Linked DNA regions of Callithrix jacchus. The protein of the gene in region 2 purifies or fractionates together with the protein of the main gene of each other region. This does not show direct contact. Links are inferred from orthologs where the notes say so. Each region holds a gene or a part of one and is shown on either strand. Other genes may lie near its edges. The genes, in order: CSTF2T and CSTF3.

Region 1 (4,567 bases), on a different chromosome or scaffold from region 2:
GGTGGAGGTTGCAGTGAGCTGAGATCCCCGCCATTGCATGTCAGCCTGGACAACAAGAACAAATTTCCCATCTCAAAAAAGAAAAAAAAAAAAAAAAACGAAAAGTAGATTATGAAATAAGAAAACTGAAAGGCATGTTAAATGCTGTTTGGTCTTAAGGTTTTTAAATCCTGTCTGGTTGAGCAAATGGACACCTTCTGTACATGAAAGCCAGACAGATACCAAGAAGCTGAGAGCTTTACTTAATGAATGAAACCTTCCACTAGTTATGAAAAGTAAAATACCATGTATAACTCATCGAGCTTAACTGGTCTCTAGACACTGATTTTTGGGAAGGATGTGAGAGAATTACTGACTCAGATTTAGGGTTGAAAGACTATTGAGAAACAGGAAGGTATTGAAAGATTATTAGGTTCCATCAGAGCAGTCTTAAGTAACCTTGTTGATTTTAGAATTGTCAGAGCAAAATCATCATGTTCAGATGCTGGAGGCCTGGCAGAACCTTGCTGGTCTCCGAAGGATGTGATAAATGAAGCAACATTAAACCAGGTACAGTTCTTAATTTTTCAGGTAACATAACTTTAGAAAAAAACAATTCTAATACAAGTTTAAACTTACCCTATTAACGCTAATGTTTCAAAAATAATTCTAAAGCACTAAGACTATGTTTAACCTATTGCCTCCAAAATAAGATTTTGCATTTTAAATGGTTTACCAAGAAATATATCTTAAACTTTTGAGGTAAACGTCTTTATTTTGTTACACAACCAAAAATCTTAAAACTATCTTAGTACATTAACGTTTTAACAGGTCAACTTTTAGTCTTTAAGAGCAGTTTTCACAAAATTTTACTCCACATTAAAAAAATGTAGTTAACATATTGTGGACACTTTAATATTGCTGCTTATTCTTTCTAATCTTATTTGGCATAGTATCATCATGTTCAGTTATTTTACAGTAACTCAAAGTGAACAGACTCCCCTCCTCCCCCCACCCTCAATTAAAAATAGAAAGAAAAACAGAAAGAAATAAAAAGAACATCAACAACAACAAAAGATTAGGTTCTAGGAGGAGGGAAAACCTAATCAAACTGTCAGGATGCAGAAGTCAGCTTTTTGCACCCATTCTCAATGCTACAGAATAAACTTTCAGACTACAGCCAAGTACTTTCTAAAACCTTTCAAGAAGCTCCAGTAGATTTCTGGATTTGCTCCTTTAAAATCAAGATACTCTGCCTTTGCTCAGGGGGCAGCATGGCAATCTGATCTGCAGTCAATTGAAGAACCTGCATGATCAAAGCTGCCTTTTCCTGATCCTGTGGAGTGACCTGGCTCTGCCCAGGGCTAAAACTGCTAGGCTGGCTTCCACCTTGCTTGCTTGCCCCCTGTATGCCTGCTCCTTGTATTCCCACTCCTTGTATGCCTGCCCCCTGCATCCCTCCTGCTTGTATGCCTGCTCCCTGCATGCCTGTTCCCTGAATACCAGCTCCAGGATTTGCCACCCCTGAAATGCCTGGGACCTGTCTGGGTCCCTGAGGGCCACCTGCCCCTATATTAATGGGACCAGGACCCTGAATTCCAGCAGTCATAGGGCCTCTTGAACTGGGGACAGGGCCCCTCATCTCCAATCCTCTTGCATCCATGCCTCTTGCTTCCATCCCTCTGGTTTCCATCGCACAGGTCTCCATTCCTCTCCTCTCCATCACACGCGTCTCTAAGACCTCAGTTTCCATGGCGCGAGTCTCCATCGCTCGAGAGTCTCTATTACCTCTGCCATCCATGGGTAGACCCCTTTGATCTATCATGGGGCCTCTGGGCTCTCCAATTAGCAGTCTGGGATCTCCCAATGGCGCTCCCCTCATCTCATGGGAGGAAGGGCCACGGGTGTCATGACCAGAAACATGATGCATGGGGGGACCCTGATGGGGTGGGCCCAGATAACCTCTGGGCTCCACTTCTCCAGTGACTGAAAGCAAAGTCCCTCCACGTGGGTCATTTGGAGCATCTCCTAACAGTCCTCGAGGAGGCAGGCCACCAGGAGTCATGGGTCCACGAGGTATAGGAGCTCTAGGATCTGACATCTGCACTTGTCCTCGCTCTAAAGGCACTGGGCCAACCCCTGGCATTCCAACTTGGGGCTGCATTGCTCCTCCAGGAGTTAAGGAACCAGGACCAGGTCCGGGAACTGCAGCTGGTATTGGCCCCGGAGCTGGAATTCCACCCTGGATAGGAGTCTGCATCAGAGGAGGAATGTCCTTCACAGGTCTTCTAGCCAAATGCTGAGGCTGAGGGGCTGGAGGATTCTGCTGGTTCAGCAGAACATTAGGACCTGGGCAGAGCCCAGGGCCAGGGCCAGGACCAGGGCCAGAGCCAGAGACAGACACAGCCTGAGATTTGCCCGGGATCAGTGGTGTGACATGTATCTTCCGATGCAGAATTTTCAGAGCAATCTCTGGATCCATGATTCTCATCACTACCTGTGCCTGCAACAGGGCATAAGCCAGTTGCGGATTTTGAAGTAACATGTTTCGAGCCTCCTGGTGGCTGTTTTGGACACAGAGCTTCATCTGCTTCATGAGCTCAAACATTTGCTCTGGGGGGAGACTGGCTACTGCTCTGGTAATCGATTCAGGGGCATCTTCTGGATCGATGGGATCCCCATAGGGTGAGTCAATAATGGGCGCTGCAGGCCCGAGGCTCTTTAACTCCTCCTTATTCTTTTCACTGGCAGCATTGTCCACCCGAAGCGCTCTCCCACTGAACTCCCGCCCATTGAGGTTCCGCATGGCACTAAGCGCGGTCTCCTGGTCTTGGTATTCGCAGAAGCCATAGCCCTTGGGTTTTCCCGTCTCTCTATCGTATACCAGCCGGAAACTGACAACAGAACCAACCTCCGAGAAAATGTCCTTTAACTGCTCCTCAGTTGCCTCATACGGAATGTTTCCCACGAACACTGAACGCAGTGATCGATCCATTGCCGGGTCTCTCACCGCCAAACTCGACATGATTCCGGTTGTGCGCACAGCCGATAGCGGATTCTTCGAGGTGTCTGTCCTCTTGCGATCGGCACTTCCGCTGAGCAACGGAAGCGGCTCTCAATATCCGGGCAGAAACCTTACTAATTCGCTTGAATCGTTCCGCTTGCCTGTGGAACCTGCATCCCACTAACAACTAATGCTTTCCGTCCCTGATTCTTCGTGGTTCTGTCAGCTTTTTGTCACAGGAGTCGCAAGATTCCTTTCCCATTTCATTTTAGGCCGACTTTCTGTGGAGTCCTAACAGCCCCACTACGACAGGCTTGGTACGAGATGACCACAGTAAAGATGGCCACATAGACTTCACCAAGGTAACTGGGAAGGGACGCCTCCCTTGACGTCAAAAGCGGTTTTGTTTCCGTTCCACCGGCGGGAAACCGCCAACCGAAAGCTGATTTAAGGCGCCGTGTTTTTCGCTCTGACCAAGTATTTTCATATGGCCGTTTATTATAGTATAGTTAAGCTATATTTAAAATTACATTCCAGACCGAGGCAAAAGTGTAGTTGTTTTAAGGCAAATTTGAGATTTGCCCCTTAAAGTAAAACAGTATTATCTCCTTTTTAAAACAACAACGTTTTTGGAAATTAACTGCCAAGAATTATAAACCGAAGCGTGTGCCGGCTGGGCCCCGCTCCCACTCTGTTGCTTCCTGTAACTGCTGTTAATGGATGAGGGGCAGATCCTTCTAGGTTTTTCCTGAGCACAGGGGCAGTTCCTAATATTACGATTTTGTTCCTTAATAGTATTAACTGATTTAAATATTATTGGTGATTAAATAAGTGATTAGTTATAAGCATTTTATGGCTTCATAGTATGGAATAATGAAATATACTTTATTATTCCTATATTGATTGGTTCTAATTTTTATTATATGATGCAGTGAGTCCACCACTTCTATGAAAGGGTAAACAAATAGTGGGTGTTTCTCTTCTGCTGTTAGTTTTGCAGGGTTTACCCCCACCTTAATTCAAAGATAGAACTGAAGCTCGGAGAGGGCTAGATCAGTTGCCCAAGAACAAGCAGTCGGTAAGAGGCAAAGCCAGGATTCTAGCCCAGGTTGGTCTCACATAGCTCCAGATCTACGCTGTCTCCTTACATGTATTGAATATTTGAAATGCAGCTAGTATGATTGGGGAATTTAAATTTCTAAATGAAATTTTAAATTTAAATTCCTCAATCCTAAATTTTAAATTTAAATTTCTTAAAATTAAAATTTTTAAATTTCAAATGAAATTTTTAAATTTCATTTTTTATTAATTTAAATATAAAAACTAATGTTCAGTAGGCTATTGGAAAACTTTTTTAGTATTTGGAACAACTTGAGTGTAGAATCTGTTTTTGTAATAATTGTGTTCTAAATAAAAATTATTTCACAGAACACTAAGACAAAAAATAAAAATAAAGTATTTCCAGTCAAAATTTAACACTACGGTTGAGGTATGCCATGCATATAAAATACATGAACGATTTTAATAAATACAAAAAAAGTCAAAATAGCTCATCAATTTTATATTGTTTTAAAATTGAAATGT
Region 2 (3,010 bases):
ATTTTTGTTCACTGTAATTAGAATTAGTTAAATAGATGTCATTTTCCTTAATGCTATTTACGTTTAGCTCATGGGAAAAAATGTTCTTGAGCACTGGGCACCTTTGAAAATATACAAGTTGAGTATCCCTAATCTGAAAATCTGACATCCAAAGTGTTTCAAAATCTAAAACTTTTTGGGTGCCAACATGATGCACAAAGAAAATACTCAGTGGAGATTTTTGGAGTTTGGACTTTTGGATGAGGGATAGTAAACTGGTAAGTATGATGCAAATATTCTGAAATGGAAACAAATCCAAAATCCTGAATACTTCTGGTCCCAACTCTGTGAGAACAAGACAGCAGGAGGTTAAACAAATTACCACACTTAGGTTGCTTTCAAGAGAGAGAAAAGATAACAGGATCTTAATCCGTCTCAGACTTACTGGGGAGCAAATGCATTCATATTTGAGGATTTCTAAAATATTTAATTTGCCTCTTAAAAATGTTTTTAGTAAAAAAAAAAAAAACCAGGAAAGAGTGTGTGATGCAGCCTACATTTAGTAAATACAAGATGACTTTTCCTTGTACTGACATTTATTTTTAAATGGTATTGAACAAATAACATAAGTAGTTATTATAAATAAAATCTGAAAGATGCACAGGAAGCATGATGTTTCTGAATCCTTTTATTTTTTAAAGGACTTTTAAAATTTCAAACTACAAAACAGATTTCATACATTCTGCCATAAATAAAAACAAACAATAAGGCAGGACTCTACATAAGCAAACCAAGAACAATTGTTTTTCAGGAAATGTGACAAAATGCTTTACAATCATAAGCCATCCAGTTTTTAAAATAAAACTGTTGAAAAACTCACAAATCTTCAAGCGGCACATACAAGACACCCTTGAAGAGGGAACAAAATGTGGTTCTGCCATTTTGTACTGTTCTCACATTTTTGAAAACCTAAATTTTGCTTAGAGCATAGGTCTGTTCCATATTCTAAAATTCACACAGGTTGGTTTGTTTTTTCCCAAGAACCATATGATAGAGGCACCAATGACAATACAACTTTGTTTCCAAGAACCTTGTAACAAAGCGTTGTCTCTTTTAAACATACGACTTGAGGCAAAAAGGGAATCCTGGACAGGAGTTTTCTTGCAGAGGCGTTTTAAGCCCTACCGAATCCGCTTCTGCTGCCGTGCTCTGTAAATGTCATGAACAGGCGGGACAACGGCTCCCTTTTCTTCATCTTCATCTGAATCCTCATTGGGCCTTTTGACAGCCTTGGTGAGTACTGCATTACTTTCCACTGGGCCGTTGCCTTCTACAGCTAGCTCTGGGGCCCCACCGGTAATAATCCTCACAGCTTCCTCAACAGCTATTAAAACAACAAAATGTAAAAACATATTCCACTAGGAAAGGGTATGTATGTTCAGCTGTGGATACTTATAGTTCACTTCATAGCCTACTATTTTAGCAAAATATGGGATGGTACTACTGATGCTAAATAATTAAAGGAAAAGACAAAAGCACTAATAAAGTTATTTTCATAAGCCAAGTCTGATAGTGCATGTTCACCTGAATAGAAAAGATAAGCTTTTATGACATTTTATTTAGTGGAATTCAATATGAATAAGCCTCTCTCTGCCAGAGAGGGTTTGGATAACTCCTGGGTTTCAGTGCACTTCAAGTTGACTGGCTGTTTTTGTAAACTTAAGTGGCAAAGAATAACAGTGTCCTCCGCCTATGAGACAGCAATGTGGAATGACACTCTGAAATGGAGTTTCCGTTACTTACTATTTGGTATCTTGCATCTTCGGAAAATTTCCATCAGTTCGTCCACTTGTACAAAGGGACCCTATTTTGACATGAATAAATTTTAATCCCTAGTAATCTGATAAGTTGAAGTAGCAATAACTTTGTACAGTTACTGTAACCCACAGAGCCAGTATCTACCATGAAAATAATAAACAAACCTGGAAACAGATAGGAGGAGGGAGAAGTTTCATTAAAACAACAGCTGCAGGGGGGACTGGGAACACTCCACCAGGTACAGGATGTAAGCCTGGAGCTGTCAGAAAAAGAAAAGTATGAATCAAGTAGGATGGAAGAGTTTCTGCAAAGAGCTAAAATAATGTGACTTGCACATAAAGATCTTCCATGCTATGCTGCTTTGTTCTGGACATTTAAGTTGCTTCTAGTGATTTACGAAACCAAAGCAGTTGAGACAGTGAGAGCTGTCTCAACGCCATGGCCACGAGGAGGCAGAGAAGTACACAAGTGACTTTGTACAAGACCAGGGCTGAACTAAAGTCAATTTTTGTCAAAGACGTTTTCTGAGTTGCACAAGTCATTTGTTCAGCAATCCTGTTTCAAGTCAATTATTCAACAACATATTTAATCAGAAGGGCCTTGTTCAAAAATAATCTAGAGAGGCTACTAACTTGAGAAGAAGTTTGGCTCTTGTTGCCCAAGCTGGAGTGCAACGGCACGATCTTGGCTCACTGCAACCTCTGCCTCCCGGGTTTAAATAATTCTCCTGCCTCAGCCTCCCAAGTAGCTGAGATTACAGGCACTCACCACCATCCCCAGAAAATGTTTGTATTTTTAGCAGAGACAAGGTTTCACCATGTTGGCCAGGCTGGTCTTGAACTCCTGACCTCAGGTGATTCACCCGCCTCAGCCTCCCAAAGTGCTGGGATTACAGGCTGGGATTGAGCCACTGCGACCGGCCATAGCAGCATTTCTGAAAACCAAGTATCACTGCCAGATGGGTTCCTGGAATCTGGATCATTGAAGTTTTGTTTTTAGGACGTTCTTAGTTAATCTGGTTCAAAGATTAAAGCTAAGTTACTTGTCATAGTGACCCTAAGTTTAATAATTAACCCATAATTGAGAGGCAGTGTCACTTTACCCCCACACCTTGGATTTAAATCAACAAACAAATCGAGGTCTCAGTACTGGATCTAAAGTCATGGCTTACGTGCTAAATGTCGTGGCTGAAATGGAATCATCTGCTGAGTGT

Evidence for each region.
Region 1: the proteins of CSTF3 (region 2) and CSTF2T purify together in Homo sapiens (co-immunoprecipitation; 4 studies listed by BioGRID and IntAct, counting the BioPlex papers as one, with this or other methods). This does not show direct contact. The link is inferred for Callithrix jacchus from reciprocal best matches to the Homo sapiens genes CSTF3 and CSTF2T.

Annotation. Positions count from the first base shown.
Region 1 is NC_133513.1:78,569,029-78,573,595, reverse strand, and holds CSTF2T (cleavage stimulation factor subunit 2 tau variant), read right to left. Parts: upstream 3,074-4,567; 5' UTR 3,005-3,073; coding exon 1,181-3,004; 3' UTR 735-1,180; downstream 1-734. UniProt on the Homo sapiens protein: May play a significant role in AAUAAA-independent mRNA polyadenylation in germ cells. Directly involved in the binding to pre-mRNAs.
Region 2 is NC_133511.1:98,463,109-98,466,118, forward strand, and holds the end of CSTF3 (cleavage stimulation factor subunit 3), read right to left. Parts: coding exon 2,969-3,010; intron 2,057-2,968; coding exon 1,962-2,056; intron 1,844-1,961; coding exon 1,783-1,843; intron 1,364-1,782; coding exon 1,161-1,363; 3' UTR 655-1,160; downstream 1-654. UniProt on the Homo sapiens protein: One of the multiple factors required for polyadenylation and 3'-end cleavage of mammalian pre-mRNAs.